Canis lupus familiaris: one gene and its partners. The protein of the gene in region 1 interacts with the protein of each later gene in a pairwise test. Links are inferred from orthologs where the notes say so. Each region holds a gene or a part of one and is shown in the gene's direction. Other genes may lie near its edges. The genes, in order: CCDC136, JMY, HMG20B, PSMD9, HDAC4, TXLNA and TCEA2.

Region 1 (3,500 bases):
TACGGGGCTGACAAAGGAGGCATACACTATGGCAGGTGATAGTACTCTGGGTTCTCGTTTGCTTGCTCGATGGAAATATTCCAATAAAAGGAATGCCATATCCTTTCCAAGCCTATTCTTTTTTTTTTTTTTCTTCCCCAAGTCTAGTTTCGAAGTGTGTGTGGCACCTATCCTCAATCAGCCTTTCTGTTCCATCTCCTGCACAGTGTAAGGAATTGTGTTGTGAGTTGCAAGAACTACAGCATCATCGTCGGACCAGTGAGGAGGAGCAGAGGCGGCTGCAGAGAGAGCTTAAGTGTGCACAGAATGAGGTGCTTCGGTTTCAGACCTCTCCCAATGTCACCCAGGTAAACACTGATGGGGGAAGGGAGTATGGGGAGGGCGGAAGGGCCTCCGTGAAGCTGCTGCATCAGGGAAGGATGAACGCAGAGCAAGGCTGTGCTTGGCTGATTCTTGCCCTGAGACCAGGGGTACAGTCTACTGGAGACCAGTTGGACAAGTCACATAGCTTTGTGTTCTAGAAATGGTAGCCATTCCTGAATGTCTGCCTCAGAGAAGAAACCCAACCTTAGACCTGTGGGAGCTCTTCAAGATGTCTACGTCTGGAAAGGACCCAAACTGGTCTGTAGAGGGGTCTGCTGTTTCTCTTGAGAGTAACTGTTCTACCTACGTCCTCCCACCACAGAACGAGGAGCTGAAGACCAGACTCTGTGCCCTGCAGCAAAAGTACGATGCTAGCCAGGATGAGCAGAATGAGCTCTTGAAGGTGCAACTACAGCTTCAGTCTGAGCTCCGGCAGCTCAGAGTCTTGAAACCCACAGTCGTAGAAAGCCCAAACGAGAAGGTAACCACAAAAGGAGGTGAGGGGCAACTGAGGTGCTTAGAGGTTTTGGGGACGGTGGATCAGAGCAGAGTTAAAATAAGTCCAGCTGCCACATGCGCAGCACCACTGGTACGGATCTCCGGCCACCCTTGAGCACGGCGCTGGGCGAGAGGACAACTGGTAAGCAAGGGGCAGGGAGAAGTCAGGTCTTAGACCATCCGTGTCTGAGAGTGACTCAGGCAGAAGAGTGAACGGGTTGAGGACCCCAGAGGTACTGCCCACAGCCCCCTCCACCACAGGAGTTACTGTGCCGGCTACAGAAGTTGCAGCTTCAGTACCAGCACATCACGTGCGAGAAGGATAAGCTGCTAGAAGTGCAGCGACAGCTGTGCGGGGACCTGCAGTACCATGAGGCGGAGGTGCAGCGCCTCAAGAACGTCGTGGCCTCCTTCCAGGAGAGCAGTGAGAAGGTAAAAGAAACTCCAGGTGAGGGAGAATATAGCCAGATGGAATCTTCTGTGAAAGCAGTAGTACCAAAGAGGAGGGGGCACTCATGGCATTCTGTAGTATAGCCATTGGTATGGGGGATAAAGAGGTGCCTAGTAGAAAGGTGATTTCACAGAGTCATGATGCACGCAGCTTCCTTTGATTTTAAATCAGAAAATCAGCCAGTAAAAAGGTAGCTCTCTTTTTCTTCCCCATCTGCCCAAAAGGGAAGCCCCAGAAGGCCCCTGCGTCGAGCCTGTTAGGGTCTGGTCCATCTCAGGTAGCCCCCATTGGGATGAAATTGGGACTGGAAAGGACCAGGTAGGACCCCTTAGTCCCTGTCTGTGAAGAGAGAGTGCAGCTGCAAGGGCTTCTGGGATGATGGTGGGGCCTGCCTCCCCTACCCCAGAACGCAGAGATGCACGCCCAGCTTCAGGAGATGAAGCGGCTGTACCAGACCAGCAAGGAAGAGCTGGAGCGGCAGAAGCACATGTATGATCAGCTCGAGCAGGACCTCCTGCTTTGCCAGCAGGAGCTGAAGGAGCTCAAGACCACCCAGTCCATCCCAGAAGACAAAGGGAAATGTGCTAATAAGGTAATTGTAATTAAGAGAGGTGAGGTCTCCTGGGTACTTCCTCTGGAAAAAGGAGGTATAAGGGCAACAGGTGCAGTCATCCAACCAAGGGGCTTGATGAGCTCCCTGTCCGTCCAGTCACAGCTGGGTGTGCAAGTCAGGAAACAGAAGAAGAGTCCCATGCTATTTACTTTTAAACAGTTTGCCTTGATCTTGATTTTGAGCCCAAGCCACGGCCTAATAGGATCAGTGCAGCTGCATCCAGTCTGAACACCTGAGGGTTTTGCATGTGATTCCATATGTGTAGACACTTAGACCTTGTTATTAGAACTTATAGTGATATCTTGTAATTTGCAGAGAACATACAGAAAAGCCCACATGTGCAACTTTTATCATTAGACCTAGAAAGAGAAGGTCCAGTTTTCTCAGGCAGATTGCAGATGCTCTTGTCAGGTGATGTGGTCTTGTGCAACTAGACCAGGGTGCTGATTGGATATTAGAAGGACCTAGGCTCTTCTAAGGTTTCCTCTGTGACTTCAGAATAGAGAAGTTCTCTAAGCTTGAGTTTTACCCTCTTTAAATTGAACAGAATACTATTCCCTTCTTACTTGCTTTTAATAATAAATCCTGGTAGTGATAAGTGAGGCTTTCCTTATTTTCTTTTTTTCCATAGTGTATAAAATGCAAGTCATTATCAGTTATCCTTAGACCTTGTGTTGAGCACTTTCAGCTCCTGATCACTGATAGGAAATGGAAGATGTTGAAACATGATGGAGAAAAGGCACGAGATTCTCAAAGTATGGTAGAGCAAGTCACCTTTTGCCGGAATACTCAGTGGCTCCTATCACAGCCAGCAGCAGGCTGTGTCCCCAGGGAAAAGCCTTTGGAAGACCCAGAATGGGGAGCTTATCTGGACCACCCCAATGGTCCACCTGCCTCTCTATGCCCAGGTTCACATTTTCTTCTTCCATTCCCACTCAGTCTAGAGGCCAGAGTGTCTATGACTTGCTCACCCTCTCCTCTCCTAGTAGAAGAGACTACAGAGAGGGAGCCAGCTCGCTGACACAGAGCCAGCTTTTCCTCTTGTCCTAAAACAGCATTGAGATGAATTCGATATTAGAAGGTTTGGTTTCATGGAATCATGGGATAATTTAGTCTTTTCAATCCAAATTCAGCAGTAGCCCATATTTTTCTAGATATTTAAAAAAATGATAATGAAAACAAAAATGGGGACAAATCGGGTGGAGTTTTTATTGGTAAGAAGTATAATTAGGTATAAAACCAACTGGGGTTGGTAACAGTGACAGGAACCAGAACTCCCAGCAGGGCAGGAGAATGATCTTTACCAAAGGGAAGGGCCAAAGGAAAGGAAGGTGGGGACCTGAGAAGGGAGGGGTGTTGTTAACACTCCCTTCACAGGGCTCTCAGAAGGGGCCAGAAGACGAAATTTACAGCATAACCGGACAGTCCTGAGCAGCCTGCTGGGGTTTCCCATTTGGTGTCTAAACCCTCACGGGTGCAGCATGGCTTGGGACTGTCAGTCCAAGGGGACCATACAGGGAGGGAGCCTCTGGTGAACCACAAGATGCAGGAGAGCACAGAAGGGCTCTGCTTGCT
Region 2 (3,500 bases), on another chromosome or scaffold:
CTGTTATAAGTTAAGAATTTGTTTCTTGGTTACTCTCTCTTCCGTTCTCTTGTCTTTTCCTTTCCCCATTTGTTTCTTAAATTGCACTTTTGAGTGAAATCATATGATATTTGTCTTTCTCTGGTTTATTTCAAATGCTCCCCCCCCCCCCCCCGCCCCCAACTGCTGATTATATTGGTTGAACTAATGTGCAGTATCTGAATCCAGGCCAGGTTGTTGCTGATTTTATTTTTATTATGTTCAACTTTTTTATTTAGTAAAATATAGCAGCTATAAGTATTTTATACTTAAATTGTTTAAGTCAGAAACCCAAAGATGAAACATTTTTAGTTCAGTGATAATTGATTTTACTTGTCAGAATAAACATCTTTAATTGTAGGTAAATGCAAAAAACGAAACAGTATTGTTTTTCTCCTATCATTGTGAATTTTAAAACTATGATTTCTATTAAAAACTGGTAGTTTCATGCCATTAAAACACTTTGTTAAGCAAAGTGAATCATTCTTTGGAGTTAACCCATTTTACTTATTGGGGGAACTTTTTTCCCCAATTAAGAAAAATAAATGGGACACATCATAATGGAATTACTATTAATTTTTTACCAGAAGAGAGAAAAATTACACGATGAAGAAGAAAGAAAAAGTGCTTGGGTTAGCCAGGAGAGACAAAGAACACTGGATAGACTTCGAAATTTTAAACAGGTAACATAAAAGTATGATCAATTTATTGTTTTTCATTGCTTTTTAAATAGCTACATATACACACACTCCTATTGTAAGATTTTAAGAAAAACTTTGTTTTTTCCTCTATTATTTAGAAAATATAATTCTTGGGGGAATGGGTTAATGGGCAATAAGTAGGGCACTTGATGTAATAATAAGCATGGTGAGTTATATACAACTGATGAAACACAGTTCTACCCCCAAAATAATAATACACTATTTGTTAATGAAATTGAATTTAAATAAAACCAAAAAGAAAATTATTTTAGGGGTACCTGGGTGACTCAATTGGTTAAGTGTCTGACTCCTGATTTTGTCTCATGTTATCTCAGGGTTGAGATTGGGCCCTGCATCTGGCTCTGCTCTTGGCAGTCTACACTAGAATCTCTCCTCCTCCTCCTCCTCTCTCTCTCTTTCTTATACACACAAATAAAGTCTTAAAATAATTTGCCTTTTGTTTTAATGTTTGATTAAAAGGCTACCTTTCTTCCACTTGTGGATTTTTTGTTTCTGTTTTTGTTTTTTATTTTTTAAAATTTATTATTTTTTTGTTTTTGTTTTTTAAATATTTATCATTTATTGGGAGAAAGAGTGGGGGCAGGAGCAGAAGAGGGAGAGAAAGAATCTTTTTTTTAAGATTTTATTTATTTATTCATGATAGACATAGAGAAAGAGGCAGAGACTCAGGCAGAGGGAGAAGCAGGCTCCATACCGGGAGCCCGACATGGGACTTGATCCTGGGACTCCAGGCGCTAAACTGCTGAGCTACCCAGGGATTCCCAGAGAGAGAGAATCTTAAGCCGACTCTGTGCACTGAGCATGGAGTCTGACTCTGGGCTCAGTTTCACAACCCTAAGATCACGACCTGAGCCGAAACCAAGAGTTAGTCGTTTAATTGACTGCACCATGCAGGCATCTCATACCTATAATCCATTTGTGTACAGCATTAATATTTTCATGCCATTGGTCTACCACTTCAGTAGCATAAAAGTAATGGTCAGGGCTTCTGGCAAGCCTGGATTCTTCTTGAGTTTTATAAAATTCACAATTGACTATCCATTTCAGGTATCACCTTGTTATTAATACCACGTATAATAACCTATAATAACAGTCTACGGAAGTGACCCTGGCATAATTAAAGTAGATCAACTTATATGAGAAAGGGTCTGGCAGTTGTCTTGCCAGGCTAACCCATGGCCCTGGATTAATGCTAGATTTTACTATAGTAAAAGATAGATTGAGAGTTCTGTATATCATTATTCAAAAAAAAAATCTTCCTCCCTTTCCATCATAAAAATGTACATATTGTTTCAAGAGTTTTTATTTTTAAAGATTCATTCATTCATTCATTCATTCATTCATTCATTTATTTATTTATTTATGGTAGACACACAGAGAGAGAGAGGCAGAGACACGGGGTGGGGGGGGGCGGGGAGCAGGCTCCATGCCGGGAGCCCGACACGGGACTCGATCCCGGGACTCCAGGGTCGCGCCCTGGGCCAAAGGCAGGTGCCAAACTGCCGAGCCACCCAGGGATCCCCTCAAGAGGTTTTTAAATGCCACAAGATGGTTTTTAAAAAGAACATTAATTTTTAATTTTTTTATTTGTAAGTATTTGAAAATACATGTAAGAAACTAACAGTTTCATAGCTTTCTGTATACCAATAGCATTTATGTTTCATATCTTACATTGCTATTATTTTTCATTTAAATTAATAATTTCAGGGGCACCTCGGTGGCTCATTTGGTTAAGCGTCTGCCTCCGGTTCAGGTCATGATCCTGAGGTCCAGGGATTGAGCCCCACGGTAGACTCCCTGCTCAGTGAGGAGTCTGTTTCTCCCTCTGCCATTCCCCCTGGTTGTGCTCTCTGGTTCAATCTGTCGAATACATAAAGTCTTAAAAAAAATAATAATTCATTCTTTAAATGAATTTAAAGTTCTTTAAAGATCTTTAATCTTTAAATCCCGTGGTAATTTTGAACAATTGGTTTCTTAAGTGGATAAAAGGGGACAGGATTTAATAAGCAAAAGAGTTCAGTGATAATTGTCAAAAGGTATTATGCTTTGGTATTCTAGTCATCTGTATAACTTTATTAAAGAACCTTCTCCGAAAATCACAAAAGCTTCAGAATAACATCTTTCATCTAAAGGAGGAAATAAAATGTTCATAAAATGTTTTAATGTAATCTGACCAGTTATAATACCTTATTGTGAGACTTTAGGACTGTGTTAGCCAAGGACACTAAAAACAAAATGGATCATAAAATGTGGACTGAAGGTTTCCCAGGAACACATGGGATCCCAGTTATGCTTGTTTGAAAAATGTTTGCTCATAAAATATTTTAATGTAATCTGACCAGTTATAATACCTTCTGATTTTTTAGAGATACCCTGGCCAAGTCATACTTAAATCAACCAGATTGCGACTGGCTCATGCAAGAAGAAGAAGCACAGCCAGTCCTGTGCCCTGTGAGGAGCAGTGTGACTCTCTGCCAGGGGCGCTACAGGTAGAAGATAAAAGTGAAAAGGTGGAGGAAGGAAGAGGCAAGCTTGAGTCATCACAGAAAACAGAAGCCCAAAGCCTCGCACAACTTGAAGATACTTCATTAGCACAACTTGAAGCCACTTCATTACCTCTCAGTGGTGTTACCTCTGAACTGCCACCCACTGTTTCTCTTCCACTTTTGAATAATATTGACCTCGAACCAGGTTCTGTTACCATAGCTCCACTTCCCCCACCTCTTCCTCCAACACCGCCTCCACCACCACCACCACCAC
Region 3 (4,219 bases), on another chromosome or scaffold:
CAGAGGGAGAAGCAGGCTCCATGCAGGGAGCCCAATGCGGGATTCGGATTCGATCCCAGGAACCCAGGGTCATGACCTGAACCAACAACTGAGCAGCCCAGCCGTCCCTAACCTTCCATTTTGTTCACCTCTTTGGAGCCCCCTTCTACTTGCTAGATGGGATACTGCTCCACCCATGAATCCCTCAACAAAGCCACTTAGATTTTCAAATTTATTCTGTTAAAATTTTGTTCTTTGGGGGGCGCCTGGCCGGCTCAGTCATAGAGCATGTGACTCTTGATTTCTGGGTGGGCCCACGTTGGGGGTAGAGCTTACTTAAATAAAACTGAAAACAAAACTGTTATGTAGCAGAGGAAACAAACACATGGGGAACAAATAAGGTGTATGGGGGAAACCTCATTGAGAAGCTGACATTTCAGCAAAGACCTGAAGGAGATCAAGCCATGAGCCAGGCGGATAATCTGGAGGAAAGGGCACACCAGGTGCAAAAGCCTGGAGGCGGGAGTGAGAGAAAGGGACCTATTTGTATGTGAGGGGCATCAGGAGGTGGAGAAGGCAGAGGAGGGCAGGGCGGTGATGTGGGAGAGTTGTTTGGGGACTAACGGGACATCGTGAGCATCCAGCGGCCGCAGCTGTCATCCTGGGAGTCGGGGAAGTCCCAGCCCAGGCCACAGGACCACGCTGCCGCCTGGGGCTCCCCCAGATCCCAGAGCAGAGCCTCCTGCCCCTCCATCTCCACGGGGTCCCAGCCCCGGGCCTCAGCTTCGGGCATCCCAGCCTCCTGGTCCTGCACATCGTGCAAGGTCCCCATTGCACGGGAGGGAAAGCGGAGCCTCCGGGGGAAGAGCAGCCCCCGCCCGCGCACTGCGGGGCTGGGCACAGCGGGACGCCGGGGCCCTAACTTCAGGGACTAGCGGGTAACTTCCCCGCCGGGTTTGCGAGATACGAAGACAGGTCCCACCTCGTCCTGGGGCGGGGGGTGGGGGAGACCGCCACGCCGCGGGGAAGGACCTTAACCCCCTTCCCTAGCAACCGGCCGCCGTCTCCATGGCAACCAGGGAGGGGCGCGATCTCGCCCGGCAGGTCCCGGGATCCCGCTGGGGCGGGGAGTCTCGCCTTGGCCGGGAGAGGAGGAGTCCGCGCCGCCCCTACTGGCCCTTTAAGGGGCTCCGCCCGGCGCGGCCCCAAGGCGCCCCGATTGGCCCCGAGAGCGGCCGAGCGCAGCCGAACTTGACGCACCCGCCCGCGGCCTTCCCCGTCCACCTCCCACGCGGCCCAGCGGCTGCCCCAGCCAATCGCCGGCCGGCGCGCCAACCCTCATCTGCATGGCCACGCCCCAGGGAAAGCCTGCACCCAATCGGACGGCTCGCGGAGGCCGCATTAGCATGCCGGGGGCGGGGCGAGCGGCAGGGGCGGGCTCGGGGCGGTTGGTTGGAGCGTCGCAGCAGCCGAGAGGTCCGGGAAAGTTTCTTTGGAGGTGAAAACAGCCGCGGAACTCGGGGCCCTGCGAGGGGGCGGGGGCGCGGGGGTCCCGGGACCGGGGAGGGGCCCCTCCCGGACCGGGGGAGAGTGGGCCCGGCCCTCCCGGGGGGCGATCGCCCAACAAAGGATCCCTGGGGCGCCCGCCCTCGAGGGCCTCCCCGCCCCTGGATCCGGCCCCCCCAAACACCCCGGGCCCGGCATTCCGGGATCCCCCGCCGGCCCGGCCCGTCGGCGGCTCGGGCGCCGCTCACCCGGCCACGCGTCTGCCTTCCAGGTGGGGCCGGGAGCGGCCATGTCCCACGGCTCCAAGCAGCCCGGCGCGGCCGCCGCGTGAGTGCGACTCCCCTCCCCCAGCCCACTCGGGTCTGCAGCCCCGCCCCCGCCCTCCCTGTCGGAGCTCGTCGCCCCTCGCCCCTCGCCCCTCGCCCCCGGGTCTTGACTCCCCCCACTGCCGGGCAGGACCTCCCCGCACGCCCCCAGCTCCCCGCCCCGGTTCCTCCCGGGGGTCTCTCCCGCCCCCCACCCCCGTGCTTCCGTCCCGGCCCGCGGATAGTGACCCCCGCAGAGCCCTGCTCCCGGGCCCCGGGCCCCAGGCCCCTCTGTGCCAGCTCCGCGGTCGGGATGGACGTGAGGGCGGCGGTGACCCTGGCGTCCCGTGGCTCCAGGCCGGCGGGCGGCAAGGCTCCGGGACCGCACGGGGGCTTCGTGGTGGCCGTCAAGCAGGAGCGCGGCGAGGGCCCCCGGGCCGGCGAGAAGGGGTCCCACGAGGAGGAGGTGAGTCCCTGCGCCGTGGTGGGGGCAGCCCTGGGGCTCGCCCCTCGCCTGGAAGCTCCACCCCGGGCTGGATTTGAATTAGCTGCGGCCCCGCCCGCAGTCCTGATTTTCCTCCCGAAGCTGAGGCCCCGCCCCGTGCCGCGTGCCACGCCCCCGGAGGTCCGCGGCCTCGGAGCCCAGGCCCCGCCCACCGCCAAATGTCCGGTGGGAGGCACCTTCCCGTCGTCCCGCGGGGCTTTCCTCCGGCGAGAAGCCACGCCCACGCCAGGTGCCACGCCCACTCGCCGTCGCTGGGCCCAACCCGGCTCCTTATGCCCCGCGCCCGGGATCGCCCGGGACCTCCGATCCGTCACCCGCGCGGCCGGCGTTCCCCGAAACCCGCCCTCTCCCAGTTCTGGCCCTTGATCAAGCCATACCTGCAGGTTTCCAGGATAGGCCCCGCCCAGCCCTCTAGCCCCGCCCCAACCCTCCAGGCCCCTCCCAACGGCGCGGAGTGGGTACTGTTCTGCAGCCCGTGAAGAAGCGCGGCTGGCCCAAGGGCAAGAAGCGGAAGAAGATCCTGCCAAATGGGCCCAAGGCACCGGTCACCGGCTACGTGCGCTTCCTGAACGAGCGGCGCGAGCAGATTCGCACGCGCCACCCGGATCTGCCCTTTCCCGAGATCACCAAGATGCTGGGTGCCGAGTGGAGCAAGCTGCAGCCGGCGGAGAAGCAGGTGGGGACCACTGACCTTGCCCCGCCCACTCGGACACTGCCCTGCGGCCACATCCCCCAAAGGGCTTCCGCGGGGAGCACTGACCACCCTTGAGCCCTCCCCAGCAGGCGGAAGGAGGGGAGGGTCGCAATAAGCAGGAATCCACGGAAAGCTTGATAACCAACACGGAGAGGTCTAAAGAAGTAGGAGTGGGGGCCGGATTTTTATGTGATAGCTCTTGGTTTTCAAATCCTGCTAATTAAAGTTGCAAAAATATAGGAAACAAAACACACCACCAGTTTGCACCCTCTAAGTGGGATTTCACCAAGCAAAATGGGTGTGGGAGCCCAGCCCAGCCTGGAGATGGGAGCCTGCCCTCAGACAACTGGGAGAGGCTTTTAAAGGCAAGAGTTTGGGGGAGGAAGGTGCCCCGCACAGCAGGCCGAGGAGCCGGGTTCACCTCCAAGGAGGGAGCTGTGGGAAGGTGCGGTGTTGGCCTTGGAGGCCGGCCGCCCCTGCCCCTGGGCTGGGACAAGCCTTCCTCTGCCCCCACCAGCGGTACCTGGATGAGGCCGAGCGGGAGAAGCAGCAGTACATGAAGGAGCTGCGCGCCTACCAGCAGTCGGAAGCCTACAAGATGTGCACGGAGAAGATCCAGGAAAAGAAGATCAAGAAAGGTGGGAAGGGCCCCAGCCCCCAGGCAGCTGGGTGCGGGCTCTGAGACAGGTGACCCAGGCAGACCGACCTGCCCTCCTCCATGGGACTCAGTCCCATGAAGACGAGACAGCTGTGGGTGGACAGGGCTGAGCAGTGCCAACGCGGGGGCACACAGACACTGGGGGTCCTCACAGGAGCCTGCCCCAGGACAAGTAGGGCTAACCTGGGGGGGGGGTCCCAGGCAGGGGGGACAGCACTTGCATTGCAAAGCAATGTGTGGGCCCCTGCCAGGCTGATCCTGCCCTCCTCCCTCCCCCACCAGAGGACTCGGGCTCTGGGCTCATGAATACGCTCTTGAATGGACACAAGGTAAGTACCCCTCCTCCTAGGACCATGCCTGGGTGAGAAAGGTCTGGAGGTCTTTAGACCCTGGGTGAGCCAGAGCCAGCTCTCACGGGAGGAAGCAGTGCCGGGCCTCCAAGTGTGCCAGCCGACGTGGGGCAGCCACATGGTGGGAATGTTGTTAAAAGGACGTCGATGCAGACGGCCAGAGGAATCCCTCTCAAGCTTGAGGGACGTCCCAGAGGGGTTGTAGCTGCCCCACCCCCCCAT
Region 4 (4,046 bases), on another chromosome or scaffold:
ATTCTGGGATCATGACCAGAGCAGAAGGGAGATACTTACTTAACCAAATGAGCCACCCAGACGCCCCCAGAGGGCTGTTGAATTGATACACATACGGCATTTAGAACAGTGTCTGGCACATTGTATGAATTTGGTAAGTTATTATCATCACTATTTTTGCCAAAATTTAAAGAGGTCTTAGTACGTAAGAGACATTGAGTAGTAACTCAGTTCTTTATCTTTCCAGCTCCTGGGACAGTGTATGACATATAGGAGACATTCAATAAATAGCTGTTAGCAAAATCACAGCCCTGAGATATCTATCAATATCCAATGATTTTATAGATGAGGAAATAGGCTCAGGGCAGTGAAGGAATTTACCAAGGTCATGTAGGTTGCATTAAGTGGCCAGAACCAGACTTGAACCTGAGCTTGTAGGGTCTGTAAAATGGGGAATAAGGGGAGCATCCGGCTGGCTCAGCCAGTGAAGCATGCAACTCTGGATCTCTGGGGTTGTGTGTTCCAGCCCCATGTTGGGTTTGGAGGTTACTTAAAAATAATAAAATCTTAGGGGGCACCTGGATGGTTCAGTGGTTGAGCGTCTGCCTTTGGCTCAGGGTGTGACCCTGGGGTCATGGGCTCTCCGCAGAGAGCCTACGTCTCCCTCTGCCTGTGTCTCTGCCTCTCTCTGTGTGTCTCTCATGAATAAATAAAACCGGGCAGCCCCGGTGGTGCAGCGGTTTAGCGCCGCCTGCAGCCCAGGGCCTGATCCTGGAGACCCTGGGTCGAGTCCCACATCGGGCTCCCTGCATGGAGCCCACTTCTCCCTCTGCCTGTGTCTCTGCCTCTCTGTGTCTCTATGAATAAATAAATAAAATCTTAAAAAAATAAATAAAATCTTTAAAAAATAAAAAAATAAAATATTTTAAAAATGGGGGATAAGGAATCTGAATGTGTTTCGTTATCTCTCAAGGGCTGGGTAGATTTGAGGAGCTGAACTGGAGCGCCTCGCACAGCGCTTTGGCACAAACATATGGTAGGCGCTCAGTACATGTCTACTGAATGAATGGAAAGCAAATGAGTCACCGAGGGAGAGATCATCCTGTTCTGGCTGGTGACAGACCTGGAACCCATTCCTCCCCAGACTGGTCTTCCCTAGTCCCCAGAACACTTGTCCCGGCGGGGTGTGGCTTCCGGGCGCCCCGCCCCCAGCAGGCCCCTCCCCCAGGTCAGGCTCGCTGACGCTCGAGGAAGTTTGGCCCGCGGGCGGAGCCGTAGCCACAGTCTCTTCCGGCGGCCGCATCCCGGAAGCCGGGGAGCCTGGTGTCCCGCATCCCGCGCCGAGGTCCAGGATGTCGGAGGGGGAAGCCAGGCAGGGCGAAGGCTCCCCGCAGGCCGGCGCGGTGACTGTCAGTGACATCCAGGAGCTCATACGGCGCAAGGAGGAGATCGAGGCGCAGATCAAAGCCAATTATGACGTACTGGAGAGTGTGAGTGGGGGCTCGGGGCTCCTGAGCGGGCGTGGGGGGCAGCCTGGGAGAATGGGGAGGCCGGGGCGGCCTGGGTTTGAGCGCTCAGCGGTGGAGCTCTCGCTCCCTGGGAGGCCCAAAGCGCGGCAACTGCGGCCTCTGTCGGCAGTAGGCGGTAAGCAACTAACGATAGCCCCTGAGAACGACTGGCCTAGTATAGCAAGCGTTCGTGGAGCTCTTACCCGGTGTTGGGCGCTTGGGGGCTGTTTTAATTGCGTTACGTGGTTAGCTCCTTTAACCCTCGCAGCAACTTTTTGAAGTGAGTTCTACTATTCCCCCCATTTTAGGGATGAGGAAACAGAGGCGTTACTTCAACCTGCCTCAGGCCACAGAGCTAATAAATTGTGATAATCACCACCATCGTTGGTGCTTGTTGAATGTGTACCAGAAGATCTGTGCTTTGCTAACTCACTTTACGTCAGAACTTCGTAAACTTTCATTATGTTTGGCAAGCACCTGGAGATCTTGTTAAAGTTCAGTTTCTGATGAGGACGGGGCGCGGAGGTGCAGATCTATTTCTAGCAAATTCCCAGCGATGCTGATGCTACTACTCTAAAGACCGAGCTTTGAGTGACAAGTAAGGGAACTGAGGCCCAGGGTGAGGCAAACCCTTGTCTAGGGTCATGTAACCAGAAGTGGCTGTGGTGGGGCTATTCCCAGGTCTGTCTAGCCCCCAAACTGGTAGTTTTTCTTATGCCAATTAGTGTAGAACCACAAATCAATTTGCAGAGGAAGAATAAATTAAATACATCCTATATAGGGTGAATGGATGCAATGCATTTTAGGTGATGAGAGTAAAATCCAAGCATCAAAAGACTAGGGTATCATGTTGCAGGGTGCTGATTATTATGCCTGAAGGGTGCTGGTTTGTGTGTATGTTATATCATGAAATCCACAACCACCTTGTGAAGTTTGTATGTTACCCAGCTCAGAAAAGAGAAGTCACTTGCTTAGAGTCACAAAATGAGATTCAGATCTCAGGCCCGTTTAATCCAGAACTTGTGTTTTCAAGCATTATGCTAACAATTTTCCAAACTTTACTTTTTACCTCAAGCGGGATGCTATATCCATAATATCTCCTGTACTACTATTCCCTTGGTATTTTTCTTTATATTGATTCACTTTTTTACTTAAATATGTTTGTCTTAAGTGAAAATTTTGTAACTTTACAGCATATGAGAAAGGGATTTTTTCCCCTCCCTTTAGCATAAGGTAAAAATGCATACCAAGGTGATATGTTTGTTCCTTTTTACTAGCTACAGTTATAGGCTGAAAGCTTTTAAGCCTGAAGCCCTCCTCTGTGATTGTTTTTTTAAAAAGGAGGGAGGAGCTAAAACCATAAATCTTATAGAATAAAGCATAGGAGTAAATTTTTGTGATCTTGGGTCAGGTAAAACCTCCTTAGATGTGATGCCAAAATCACAAGCAATGAAAGAAAAAGTAGATAAAATTTATCAGAATTTAAAACGTGTATCTCAAAAGACATATGTCATATGTCATCAGAGAAATGCCAATTAAAACAGCCATGAGGTACTACTACACATGTGTCTAAGTGGCCAGTATTCATCACAGTTCAACTCCGGATGCTGTTGAGGATGTGGGGGAACTCTTGATTCAGAGCTGCAAGTTTCTTGCAAAGCTAAACATTCTCTTACCATACCATCCAGCAGTTGTGCTCCATGGTATTTACCCAAAGGAGTTTAAAACATGTCTACGCAAAAATCCTCATGATGTTTCCAGCAGCTTATTTCGTAATTGCCAAGACTTGAAGCAACCAAGATGTCTTTAACTAGGTGGATAGGTAAATAAAATGAACCTCTAAACAGTAGACTATATTACTCACTGCTAAAAATAAATGGGCTAGTGAGCAATGAAAAGACCTGGAGGAACCCCAAATGCTTATAAGTAACTGAAAGAAGCCAGTCTGAGAAGACTGCATCTGTAGGGTTTCAACCAGAATCTGGAAGGGGCAAAACTGTGGAGACATTAAAAAGATCAGTGGTTGCAGGGATCCAAAGTGATGGAAGGGATGAATAGATGGAGCACAGAGGATTTGTAGGGCAGTGTAGGTATCCCATATAGGATTGTAATGATGGGTACATGTCATTATACATTTGTTCAAACCTGTAGAATATAAAACTAAGAGTGAAGTCTAAGGTAAACTATGGGCTTCAATAGGAAATGGTAGGTATAACCCAGTGGCTTCCAGAAAGAAAGGGAGAGAAGTGAATGGAATCCCTCATCCCAGTACATATATTCCCTGGGCAGCTTTCCTCTATGCTGACTAATAATTCAGCCATGATTTATTACTTTTACATGTATTAATTTCCTGGAGCCCCCATAACAAATTACTACAAACTGGGTGACCAGAGTGATGGAAATTCATTCTCTCACAGTTGTGAAGGCCACAAGTCTGAAATCTAAGCTGTCGGCAGGGTTGGTTTCTCCTGGGGGATCTGAGGGAGAATCTGTTCAGTGCCTCTGTCTTATTTTCTGGTGGTCACTGGCCATCCCTGGCTTTGGTGGTCTAACTCCTCT
Region 5 (3,500 bases), on another chromosome or scaffold:
GGGCCCCCAGGGGCAGTGTCCTGGGGCTGGCAGGCATGGCACCGAGCGGCCTCTTCCCTTCCTACCTGGCCGGACCCGGGTGGGCTGTGACGTCTAGTCCTGGCCCTCGCCCGCCGTGGGCATCTGTGCGCCCGTATTCCAGCCAGACACCCGCCCGCCCGAGTCCCTGCAGATAACGGTCTCAGGCGTGTGCGCCGTGAGTTGACGTAAATGCAGGCGCTACCGAGTGTCAGTAGGACCGGGCGGCGGCGTGAAGGGTAGGAGGAGGCACATCGATGTCTTCATTGATCAGGAAGGCAGGCAGGGCCTTGACGGCCCCGGAGGCCGTGGTGACCGATGTCATAAAAGAGCCGGAAGAACCGTGACACGCGGACCCAGTCCCAGACACTGACACGTGTTAACCAAACTCACAGGTGACGCGTGGATAAATCTGATGACTTATCGATTTATAATGAAGATGAAAACCGCCATGTCCGCGAGAGCCGTGTCCCACGGGCAGCCCGGGAGTCGGAGGCCCCGTGTTGGGGGCCGCAGGGAGGCTGCTTGCTCCTGACGGCACGCGTGGGCGGGGTGCCGCGGGCGGCCGGTGCTTGCCGACTCCTGTTCCTCGCCCGAGCCGCTCCGGCTCTGACGTCTGGGCCTCGTTCCCGCCCGCCGGGCGCCCGCCTCTGCTCCCCCGAGGACCGGAGCGCGGGAGCTCGTGTCGGGGGAAGCGCTGCCGTTGCTGGGTGCGCATGGGGCCCCGGCGGGCCTGGCCGTCCCCGACCGCTGTGGGGCCGCGGCCTCGGCACCGGAGCGCGACCGGGAAGCCTGCGGGGGGAGCGGAGCGTGCGCCCCCCAGCGTTCAGGGCTGGGGTCTCGCGGGTGGTGGAGCGCTCGGCCTTTATTTAGAAAACGATCCTTACCCTGCTCAGACCCAGGACCGTTAGGGACGCTTGTTCTCCGCATCCAGGAATACCAGTGAGCAGAGCGGCCTCGGGGCCCCTGGTGGCTCGTGTGGCAGCTGGCACCAGTCGAGGCCTCCAGCGTTCGGTGACCGGCGTCGGGGGGCAGGGCTCTCGGGGCTCCAGGCGCCTGGAGCCGGGCCCGTGGGGGCGCGGGCACCTGTTGGGTTCTCTCCCTCCCTGCCCCTTCCCGCTGCACCGTGGAGGCGGGGAAGTCAGGCGGGTGGGCAGGGAGGCCCCGTGTCCCTCGGGGGCCGCACGGCCGCTGTGCACCTGCTTCCCTGCAGGGCCTCGCATGTGAGATCCGTCCCTGAAGCCTCGGCCTGGCTCGTGGCCCGGCGCTGGTCTGCATGGGGCAGCGGCTTCGTGGAGGGCGCGCAGGCCTGCGTGGGGCAGTGGCTGTCCCCGCCCGGCGCCCACCTGCCCGGCCGCGCCGGAGCATCCCTTAGTTGCTAAACTGCCTGTTTGGGGTCCTGGCAGTGTCGCGCTCTTACCAAAACCAACTCTTGTCATAGAAACACACATTTTGTGAAAAGGAGTTTTTCGTGAAGTTGAGTCCTTTTTGCCCTGCCGATTTTTGTTGAGGTGGCGGAGGTCCTGGGGACCGTCCACCTGGGTCCCCCTCAGAGAGGCGCGGCCGGCCGACCCCGGGTGGCTGGAACCCGACCAGACGTGTGTTGCTCACTCAGCCAGCGTCTTGCTGCCCTCGGGTGGGGGCGCGGGGGGAGAGGCAGGGACCCAGCCGTGGAGTCCGCGTTCCCACTCCGGGATGTGCTCCCACGCACGTGTCTGGCATGTGGAGCAGCTCCTCCTGGGCGGGGCCGGCCGGGGGCTGCCTGCAGGCGGGGGCTCCGTGGGCTGCCGAGCTCGGGGCTGTGCACCCACGAGAGCCAACGGTCAGGCACGTGGGTTGCTGGACGCGAGCCGCGGTTTCCTGGCAGCACCCAAACCCCGCGTCTCCTCTCCCCAGCAAGCCCTCCTTCTGGAACAGCAGCGGATCCACCAGCTGAGAAACTACCAGGCGTCCATGGAGGCCGCTGGCATCCCCGTGTCCTTTGGCGGCCACCGGCCTCTGTCGCGGGCACAGTCCTCCCCGGCGTCTGCCACCTTCCCCATGTCTGTGCAGGAGCCGCCCACCAAACCGAGGTTCACCACAGGTATGCGCAGGGGCTGGGGGCTGGGGGTCCGGCGCTGAGCACCTGTGGCCCACACCTGGCCTGGGCCTGGCCGGGGAACCAGATGCGTCGGTCACTGAGGCCCCCTTCCCACCTCCCGCTTCTTGATGCCGCCGTCTCCCTTGGCCCAGAGCCCACCTTGCCTTTGCCGGAGAATGTTCCCTCCGGAGACAAGCCGGCGGGCTGGGCGGCTGCCTGTCCGTGGGCCGCAGGGACAGTGAGCTCATCCTTCCTCATCGGCCCTTCGTGTGGGGCCCACACGGCCCGGGGGGCTCAAGGGTCTCAGGCCCCAGGGTGTGAGGCCGGCCCAGCCCCCCAGGGCTCTCGCCTTCGGGGTGGGGCTGTCCTCGCTGCCTCACCCCTGCAGGAGCCTCCCCGTTCCCCCTGCAGCAGAGCCCGGGCTGGGCGACCCTCCCTGGGGGCATCCCCATTGCCCCGGGTCCCTGGTGCTGATCCCCCCCCAGGCCCGCTGTAGTTGGGTTCAGGACTCGGTTACGTCCCTTTGAACACCCTGATGTTGGCCTGTTCGTGCATGTGTCACGCAGGTGTCCCGACTGCCCTGGAAGGTTCTAAGGTTCCAGGGTCTCTCTTGGTTCTGACCCCAGAACCTCGCAGGGGACTCAGATCAGCAGCAGCGCTGCTTCCTGGGTTCCGCTCCCTGACAGGATGGACTTGGATTTGGGGCTAAAGCTCTTAGTTTGGGAAGACAGCACGGCCCTGTGACGCGGGGGCCGCGCAGCTTGGGGAGTGGGGGCGGCGGCTTCCCGGGTCGTTCTCCTTGCCTCGCTCCCCCGGCGGGGACCCCCGGCACCTGCCGTGAGCAGGACACCTGCCTCGGCCTCCATCTCTTGGCCGCCCTTGGTCTCTGGGGAACGTGGATCTGACACATCGTCCTGGTGGACGGGACGCCGTTGGCCGCTGTCTCCCACCAGGACCCGGTGGTGGGCCCCAGCCAGGCAGCGTCCCGGGTGGGTGGTGGGCGGCTGCCGGGAACCCCTGACAGCCCCCCTGACCGTGGCTGGGCCCCCCGTTGTCCAGGCCTCGTGTACGACACCCTGATGCTGAAGCACCAGTGTACCTGCGGGAACACCAACAGCCACCCCGAGCACGCCGGCAGGATCCAGAGCATCTGGTCTCGGCTGCAGGAGACGGGGCTCCGGGGCAAGTGTGAGGTAAGTGGGGCCCAGGCCGGGGGCGGGGGGCTGTGAGCAGTTCCACCAGGGGCATCTGCCCGGGGGACTGCTTTCCCTCACCCAGGTCCTCCCTTTGGGGAAGTTCACCTCTTCCTGTCCCTGCGTCCTCCTGCCCCACTCCGTCTTGTCCCCCATCCTCCATCCTCCTGTCCTTCTGCCCCCTATCCTGCTCCCCTGTCCTGTCCCCC
Region 6 (3,500 bases), on another chromosome or scaffold:
TTCACTCTTTGGCTACCACTGTTGACAAATGTTTAGTAGTTACCGAGGAAACCTATTCCTTTTTGCCTCCTTCCTCTTTCGAAAGGGCTTTCCTTGCATTGACACAGTAGCACTTAAATTGGCCATTGGGATGTCTTTTTTTTTCCTCCTGCTATTAGAGCAGGCAGGTTTTTTCTCCCACTCTCAGTGTTCACCATGGAGTCTCCACATAGACTCAGTTATTAGTCTATTAAGCATTTGTTGAGCATGTCGTCTGAGATGGGCACCAAAGACAATATGGAGCAGCACTGGGGCCACAGTAATAGGCTGAGTTCAGTTGGTGGTAACCCTCATGAACCACACGGTCTAATGGGATGACAGCCAGGTCAACAAACAGTATCAAATATGATAATGTAGGGCTGCCTCAAGGCCTGAGAGTGTGGGCCGAGGCCTGGGGAAATCCCCAGAGAAGGGGGTACATGATTTTGATCCCTGTGCTTTGCAGGGAAGGAGATCACGTTGCTGATGCAGACATTGAACACCCTGAGCACCCCAGAGGAGAAGCTGGCAGCTCTGTGCAAGAAGTATGCTGAACTGGTCAGTTCTCCCCCTTCTTCTTGCATCCGCCCTGCCTTGGAAAGTCAGCAGGCCACCTGGCATGGGGTTGAGGGTGCCGGGGCAGGTGGGTGGCTTAATTCCTATTCAGCCTCTCTCAGCCTTTTCTCCATCTGTTAAGTGGAGAGTCAAGTCCCAGCTGGCCCCTTCCATGTTGACTGTAAGAAGAAACCCTTCATATTACAGTGGTAAAACCATAGCTCCTGGCCCCAGTCCCACATACCATGTCATCTCACACCTGTGTGCCTCAGTGTGCATCTCCCCAAAAAATGCACAGTGCCATCCTCACATTTAAACTAACACTGATGTGATACTCTAATACGCATATTTCCCCATTTGTTTAAAATGTCAGTTTGATCAAATCAGGGTCTACAGGAGATCCATCTAATACTTTAGGTCCTTACAACTTTTTTTCCTTTTATTCCAAAATAGTCTTCATTTACTGCCAACCTTTTTCTCATGACATTGATTTACTGCAGATCAATCGCCCTGTGCCTCACTTCTTCGCTTTTGTGGTGACATTTAACTTCTTCCTTTACCTCCTTAGTTCCTGTAGATATAGGGGAAATTAACTCTAGAAGCTTGATCCAATCCAAGTTCAACTATTTTGATAAGAACTCTACATAAGTGGTACTCTGTAGAGAAAGTGTGTTCCTCCCACTTTTACTGATGGAAGATTGTCCACTGAGTTCAGGTGGGGCCAGCCAGGTTCCTCCCTTGTCAGGTTGCCATCAGAATTTGTATAAATGGATTAATCCACTGTGGGTCATTTCCTAACTACTTGTTTTTAAGTTCTTTCACTCCATTTTCATTTATTAGCTAGAATTCTCTAAGAAGTTTTTCTCATTTGTAAAATTGGGAAAAATCACACCTGCCTTGTGGGGTTGCTATAATGATTAAATAAAGGATAGGATATGAAAAAGATACCACCCCTTCAGAATGAGCCATCCAGGGAAAGATTGATGAAGAGAGCAGGAGCTGAGTGATGTTCTCAAGTAGAGAAGGAGCTAAGGGCCAGAGCATAAGGAGAAGGCTGGCTGTGTTGGGAAGCACCACTGGATCCTGGTAACCAGAGGAAAAGGCCGGTGCAGGTGGATGGGCAGAGGTGGAACTTATGCCCCTGTGCCTCTGGTTGCTTCCATTCTCAGGGAAATGAGAAAGATATTTTTTGCTGGGCCAAAGGAGAGCTGAGAAGGAGGAGGATGAAATAGTTCTCTGGAAGAGGAGTGTGACTAACATAAGGAATATGGTTAGGCCGCATGGCAGACGAGGGTCTTCCTCAAATGGGTAGTTAGGAATTAAAAGAGGTTCTTCTGCTTCAGTGCCTGTGCAGAGGAATCAGAGGTTGGGATATCAGGGTTGGGGTTTTGATAGGAAAAGGGGGCAAGAGAGTTGAGTGTAAGAAGTCTTAAGACAAGTATAAGAAGGTCAGTGATTATTTAAAGACACATTCAAGGAAAGTGAAAGGATAGTTGGGTCACTGGGTTGGAGGTCCAGTATGGTAGACTTTCTGGGGCCACAAATTTTGGATGGAATGAGCTAGAATGGTAGGGGATAGTGGTCCTGCCCTGGGATGAGATAATGGAGGGGTGTGTGCTTCTGGGTAATGACAAAATCTGGATCTGATGTCCAGGACAGTAACCATTAGCCAACTGAAATGTGGCTAGTCTAGATTTGGATGTGCTCTAAGTGTAAGATACAACTTAGGTTTCAAACACCTAAGGAAAGGGGAAGAAAAAATAATGTTCAATGACTTGAACAGTTGTCATTACATAGAGTTGCACTGTATCAGCGTTGACTAGGCTCATGGGAGGGTAGCTGATGTGGGGAAAAGACAGGGTCTGAGAAGGTTAAGATCTGTCCATAATGAAAAGGCCAAAATGATAACAGCAGTCATGTTGAGTGAAGTGGCGCTAAGTTTCAGAGCAGTGAAGAGGGAGTGACGGGGGTCTATTGAATACAAGGAGGAGTGGTAAGGGGTGTCATCTGAGGACATGAGTGTCACAAAGGTTGAAGGAATGTAATGGTCTGAGAGTCTTGAGAACTTCATCTCTAGAGTTAGAGTGGGGAGAGGCTGGGGTCTGCAGCCTCTGAATCCCTGCTTGTCGTAAGTGCCTGTTTCTGTATACTGGAGATGGAGCCCTTGGGTTTATCGGAGAAGTACATTAAGCACCCACACAGTGTCCAGCCAGAACTGTTAACAACTGGAGTCGGGAGAGGGCCGGGGTCCCTTGGGAAAAGCCCGACTAGGCACTTACTTGCCTTCCTGCTCCACAGCTGGAGGAGCATCGGAACTCCCAGAAGCAGATGAAGCTGCTGCAGAAGAAACAGAGCCAGCTGGTGCAGGAGAAGGACCACCTGCGTGGGGAGCACAGCAAGGCTGTCCTGGCCCGCAGTAAGCTAGAAAGCCTGTGCCGGGAGCTCCAACGCCACAACCGCTCCCTCAAGGTGGGCTGGCCCCTACGACTCTGGTTCCCTTGACTTCCACTTTTCCTTGGTGGGCTTTCCCCTTAAAAAGTAGCACGGAGGGATCCCTGGGTGGTGCAGCAGTTTAGCGCCTGCCTTTGGCCCAGGGCGTGATCCTGGAGACCCGGGATCAAATCCCACGTTGGGCTCCTAGTGCATGGAGCCTGCTTCTCCCTCTGCCTGTGTCTTTGCCTCTCTCTCTTTCTTTCTCTGCCTATCATAAATAAATAAATGAATGAATGAATGAATGAATGAATGAATGAATGAATAAATAAATAAATAAATAAATAAATAAATAAATAAAATCTTTAAAAAAAAAAAAAGGTAGCATGGGATTTTGGCAGAGAAATTGATTTCCCCAGTAACGCCCTGCCTTAGGGATAGCTGCCTGTAACCACTTGACCTGTCCCTGTGTCAGGTATGGTGAGGGAGCCCAGGAG
Region 7 (4,128 bases), on another chromosome or scaffold:
TGTGCTCAGTCCTGGTACTGCCGCGAGACGTGGGTCGTTGCTTCATTCGCAGCCCGAGGAACCACATGCTTCCACTGGAGGCCGACGGGAAGGATCCAGGGGTACGAGCTGGAGGCTCTGCTCCCCACTGGCCAGTCTGCACGTGCTCCCGTGTGGTGCAGCCTGGCAGCCCAGGTGTCTGGTCCTCCTCTCTGCCGCCCGGTCTCACACCTGCCCGCATGTCAGTGGCCGTGGGCCCAGGACACAGACATCCGTCTCCTGCCTTGTACCGCGCCCCGCCCCGCTGTAGGGCACACGGGGACACCTCGAAGGGGGCGAGGTCTGGAGGGGACGCTCCTCTGCTGTCCCCGCAGCCAGGCCACCCTCACGTGGGCGCAGCGGGCATTCACAGGAGCTCCAGCAGCCGAGGTGACCACTGACGTGCTCGTGCCCCGTTCTCCGCTCTTCACCACCTGCCGTCGGGGCAGCAGCCCCCTGAGCGGACGACACCACCACCTTCCTTTCACAGATGGGGAGACTGAGGCACAACGGTCTGCGGTCGGTTTGAAGTGCAGAGCGCGGGATTCATGCCCGGCAGCTGCCCCGGGGGCGTCTGCGGCTCCTCTGGCACCTTCGGAACCGGAACCGGCCCTGGCCTCTTCCAGACCCTGCATCCGGCTGCAGCCCCCTCCCCTCTGGGGGGGGGCATGTGGGCCAGAGGGCACAAGGGGTGGGAGTGCGGGGGTGGGGGCTGCGGGCGCGCGGGGGTGGAGGTGGGCGTGGGGGGGTGCGCGAGGGGTGGAGGTGGGGGTGCGCGGGGTGGGGGTGCGGGTGGGAGGTGCGCGGGGTGGAGGTGGGGGTGCGCGGGGTGGGGTGCGTGCGGCTGGCGGCGCGGGCGGGGGGTGCGCGGGGGTGGGGTTGGGCGTGTGGGGGTGGGGGCGCGCGCGGGTGGGGTGCGGGGTCTCCCGCGGGGCCCGGCTGCCCCGGGACAGCACAGCGCTAGGTGGGAGAAGGACTCCAAGAGGGCGGAGAAGGGGACGGCCGGACCCGGACGCGCCTTCGCGGGCCCCACGGAGCCGACCCACGGGCCGCTCGGGCGGAGGGTCCGGGAGGGACGCCCGCTGGCCCCGCGCTCCGCAGCGCCCTCCGCCGGCTCACCGGCTCGCGCGGGGCCTTGTGGGACTGCGAGTCGGCCGTCCTCGTCGGCCTCCTGCGGCGGCCCGCGGCGGGACTACACATCCCAGAAAGCCACGCGAAGCCGCGTGTCTTCCGGGGCTTGTGGTCCAGCGCGGGGCGAGCGCGCGAGGCTGCCGGCCGCGGGAACTACATGTCCCAGGGAGCAGCGCGGCGACCGCGGGGGCCGGGGGTTTGAACGGAGGGTCTCCCGCCCGCGGCGGGGCTGCGTCGGCTGCGACGGGTGCGGACGACGACGACGAGCGGGGCAGGGGTCCGGGCCCGGAGGCCGAGGCTGGCGCGGCGGGCGCTGGGGGCCCTGCCCCCGAGGCGATGATGGGCAAGGAGGAGGAGATCGCGCGGATCGCCCGCAGGCTGGACAAGATGGTGACCAAGAAGAGTGCGGTGAGGGGCGCGGGCCGCCGGGACCCCGGGACCCCGGGCCCCGCCCCGCCGACCCCCGCCCGCTTCGGGCCGGGCGACCCCGAGCGGCAGGACGAGGCCCCGCCCCGGCGGAGACCCTGCCCTGGGCCCCCCGGCTCTCCCCCGCGCCCGCACCGCGGAGGCCGCCGTGGGGTCGGGTCGGGCCGGGGTCGTGTCGGGGCCGCCCCGCGGGACCCGGACCCCGCGCACCTGACACCCGCCTCCGTGCCCCGCCCCGCCCCGCCCTCCCGGCCCCGCCCCCGCCCCCGCCCCCGCCCCCGCCCGGGCCTTCTCCGCAGAGCCCCGCCCGCCCCGCCCGCCCCGCCCGCCCCGCGGCCTGCAGCCCGCCCCCCGCCCCCTCCGTGTGCAGGCCCGAGGCCTGTCCTGCTGCAGAGGCCCCTGTGCCCCATCTGCACCCCCACAGGAACCAGGTCTCCCTAATAAATTCTTTCCCTTCCCTAGCCGGGACCCAGCCAGCAGCAGCTGGGGAGGGGGGAGATGTCAGAGACCCTAGGGATAGAGGCCTGGGAGGCCTGGGCACCCGGCAGGCCTGGTGATGGAGCCCCTGGCCCCGCGGGCTGGGGCCCCCGCCGCGGAGGCTGGAGGAGGCAGTGCTGCGGGGTGGGGGTTGGGGTTCCAACTTCAGCCCATCTTGAGCTCCGAGACCCTCCCTGACAGCCTGCGTGCCCTCCCGTGGAAGCATCCTTGGTGGGCGGGACCTGCCTTCAGGGTGCTGGGGGGCCCTGGCTGGCTCCCCGAGAGGCTCCACACACACACCCCGCTCTTCCCCGGGACTGTGAGCGAGTAGCAGGGTGGAGGAGGCGGCTCCGTCACGCGCAGCCACCCCAGACCGACCGCTTGCTCTGCCGCTTTGGGCACTCTTTTGTGTTAAGCCGACTTGTCCTGGGGTCCTTGTTGACCAGGTTTTGGACAGGGGCCTACACTGGGGCCAGAAACGGGGCCGGCTCCCACTCATCCACTCATCCAGCGAGCAGCAGCCCCCTCCCCACACGGGCATCGTGTCCCTGGGAGGCCCTGGGCTGCGCGGAGCTAGGGAGTGGGGGACAGTCTAGCTGTTTGCAGAGATGACCAAAGAAAGAAGCTGCTTCCTGTCTTGAAGGAGACAACACCCCCCAGGTGGGGACAGAGATGGGTCACGGAACCCGCAGAGGGCTGGGTGGGGCCAGGTGGAAGCACTGTGGAGACCGAGGCGTGGGAGTTGACAGCCCCACGGGCCAGGAAGGTGCCTGGTGCCCGTGAGGCTCCCGGAGGCCTGGGGACCGGTGATGGGGAAGTCGGGAGCTGGGTTTGTGCCTCTGGTCTGGAGCCACAGGAAGCTCATCAGTGAGCAGCGCCGTGACCTTGGCTCGGACGCCCCCCCCACCTGAGGAGGTCACCGTAGGGCTGGACTCTGCATGTTCCTGGGTGGGGGGGGGGGGATGTGGACGGGGCTGCAGAGCAGAGGCGCCATGCAGATGGCAGGGGATGCGGCCTGGGCTGCCTGGCACGAGGGTCCCACCACCTCGGATAGCCGAGCCACATGATTCCTGCTCTCTCATGTCAAAGGAAAGAGCAATACGTTAAAACACACCAGTATGTTAACAAGTGAAGCATCTGTGGGAGAAAGCAAAGTGGGGGAGGATGGGGTCAGGAGGGGCGTCAACAAGGTGTCATCTGAATAAAATTTGGGAAGAGGGAGGGTACGGAACTGTAGATATTTGGGAGGCATTTCTCTGGCAGTGGGAGCAGCAGGTGCAAGGGTCCTGGGGCAAGCAGCTTGGCACAGTTGAGGAACCTAAAGCTGAGCCCGGAGTGGAGAGAGCAGCCAGTTTGTGCAGGACCTTGATGTGGGGAGGGCTCTAAAGAAACAGGTGTTGGGTGGGCAGGGGCAAGGTGGGGGAGGTGGCTGGCCTGGAGAGATTGCTGGGACTTCAATCTGGGTGTGGGTGGGTGTGCATGTGATGGGGGAGGTGTTTGGCCTCAGTCGGGGTCGCTGACCTTGCCCAGGTTGGCTCCCGTCAGCCTGTGATGAGGTACTTCAGGAGGGGCTGAGCAACCCACGAGGGGTCTGGGCCTGGAGCGGGCAGTGAGCACCCCTGCCTCCCCCCCCCCCCCCCCCCCGACCTGGGTGCTGTCCTCCCGCGGGCGGGGCTGCCGGCCTTGGAGCTGTTTGCTGCAGCCGTGGTTTGGTCAGTGACCAGGCGCTGGCGCTGAGTTTGCAGAGCTGCTGGCCGTCCCCGCGCAGCTGACCCCGGGTGGGTCTCCAATCTGTTACTTCCGGTGCCCCCCCGCCTTCGTGGCTAGGAGGAGGTGGCAGTGCACCCCGAGACCTCGAAGTCCTTTATGAAGGTCCCCCTTCTCCTTCCAGGAGGGAGCCATGGACCTGCTGCGGGAGCTGAAGGCCATGCCGGTCACGCTGCACCTGCTTCAGGTAGGGCCCTGCGCGCCTCCTGCCCGGACGGCTCCTGGCGCCTGGCAGGGCCTGTGCGTCCTGGAGGAGGCCCCCGCCCTGGTTGTCCCGGAAGACGGGGGGCATCTGAGCATGGCTCCCCC

Evidence for each region.
Region 2: the proteins of CCDC136 (region 1) and JMY interact in binary tests that used the Homo sapiens proteins (3 or more experiments, as listed by UniProt). The two-hybrid records come from large-scale screens. The link is inferred for Canis lupus familiaris from reciprocal best matches to the Homo sapiens genes CCDC136 and JMY.
Region 3: the proteins of CCDC136 (region 1) and HMG20B interact in binary tests that used the Homo sapiens proteins (3 or more experiments, as listed by UniProt). The two-hybrid records come from large-scale screens. The link is inferred for Canis lupus familiaris from reciprocal best matches to the Homo sapiens genes CCDC136 and HMG20B.
Region 4: the proteins of CCDC136 (region 1) and PSMD9 interact in binary tests that used the Homo sapiens proteins (3 or more experiments, as listed by UniProt). The two-hybrid records come from large-scale screens. The link is inferred for Canis lupus familiaris from reciprocal best matches to the Homo sapiens genes CCDC136 and PSMD9.
Region 5: the proteins of CCDC136 (region 1) and HDAC4 interact in binary tests that used the Homo sapiens proteins (3 or more experiments, as listed by UniProt). The two-hybrid records come from large-scale screens. The link is inferred for Canis lupus familiaris from reciprocal best matches to the Homo sapiens genes CCDC136 and HDAC4.
Region 6: the proteins of CCDC136 (region 1) and TXLNA interact in binary tests that used the Homo sapiens proteins (3 or more experiments, as listed by UniProt). The two-hybrid records come from large-scale screens. The link is inferred for Canis lupus familiaris from reciprocal best matches to the Homo sapiens genes CCDC136 and TXLNA.
Region 7: the proteins of CCDC136 (region 1) and TCEA2 interact in binary tests that used the Homo sapiens proteins (3 or more experiments, as listed by UniProt). The two-hybrid records come from large-scale screens. The link is inferred for Canis lupus familiaris from reciprocal best matches to the Homo sapiens genes CCDC136 and TCEA2.

Annotation. Positions count from the first base shown.
Region 1 is NC_049235.1:7,695,969-7,699,468, reverse strand, and holds part of CCDC136 (coiled-coil domain-containing protein 136), read left to right. Parts: intron 1-206; coding exon 207-347; intron 348-685; coding exon 686-844; intron 845-1,122; coding exon 1,123-1,293; intron 1,294-1,718; coding exon 1,719-1,904; intron 1,905-3,500. UniProt on the Homo sapiens protein: May play a role in acrosome formation in spermatogenesis and in fertilization.
Region 2 is NC_049224.1:27,670,198-27,673,697, reverse strand, and holds part of JMY (junction-mediating and -regulatory protein), read left to right. Parts: intron 1-605; coding exon 606-701; intron 702-3,106; coding exon 3,107-3,500. UniProt on the Homo sapiens protein: Acts both as a nuclear p53/TP53-cofactor and a cytoplasmic regulator of actin dynamics depending on conditions. In nucleus, acts as a cofactor that increases p53/TP53 response via its interaction with p300/EP300.
Region 3 is NC_049241.1:56,240,175-56,244,393, reverse strand, and holds the start of HMG20B (SWI/SNF-related matrix-associated actin-dependent regulator of chromatin subfamily E member 1-related), read left to right. Parts: upstream 1-1,419; 5' UTR 1,420-1,477; intron 1,478-1,756; 5' UTR 1,757-1,774; coding exon 1,775-1,812; intron 1,813-2,147; coding exon 2,148-2,256; intron 2,257-2,767; coding exon 2,768-2,971; intron 2,972-3,506; coding exon 3,507-3,627; intron 3,628-3,929; coding exon 3,930-3,976; intron 3,977-4,219. UniProt on the Homo sapiens protein: Required for correct progression through G2 phase of the cell cycle and entry into mitosis. Required for RCOR1/CoREST mediated repression of neuronal specific gene promoters.
Region 4 is NC_049247.1:7,627,771-7,631,816, reverse strand, and holds the start of PSMD9 (26S proteasome non-ATPase regulatory subunit 9), read left to right. Parts: upstream 1-1,246; 5' UTR 1,247-1,331; coding exon 1,332-1,469; intron 1,470-4,046. UniProt on the Homo sapiens protein: Acts as a chaperone during the assembly of the 26S proteasome, specifically of the base subcomplex of the PA700/19S regulatory complex (RC).
Region 5 is NC_049246.1:49,640,533-49,644,032, reverse strand, and holds part of HDAC4 (histone deacetylase 4), read left to right. Parts: intron 1-1,914; coding exon 1,915-2,101; intron 2,102-3,157; coding exon 3,158-3,291; intron 3,292-3,500. UniProt on the Homo sapiens protein: Responsible for the deacetylation of lysine residues on the N-terminal part of the core histones (H2A, H2B, H3 and H4).
Region 6 is NC_049223.1:68,414,254-68,417,753, reverse strand, and holds part of TXLNA (alpha-taxilin), read left to right. Parts: intron 1-484; coding exon 485-576; intron 577-2,871; coding exon 2,872-3,042; intron 3,043-3,500. UniProt on the Homo sapiens protein: May be involved in intracellular vesicle traffic and potentially in calcium-dependent exocytosis in neuroendocrine cells.
Region 7 is NC_049245.1:48,351,186-48,355,313, forward strand, and holds the start of TCEA2 (transcription elongation factor A protein 2), read left to right. Parts: upstream 1-1,328; 5' UTR 1,329-1,485; coding exon 1,486-1,557; intron 1,558-3,943; coding exon 3,944-4,006; intron 4,007-4,128. UniProt on the Homo sapiens protein: Necessary for efficient RNA polymerase II transcription elongation past template-encoded arresting sites.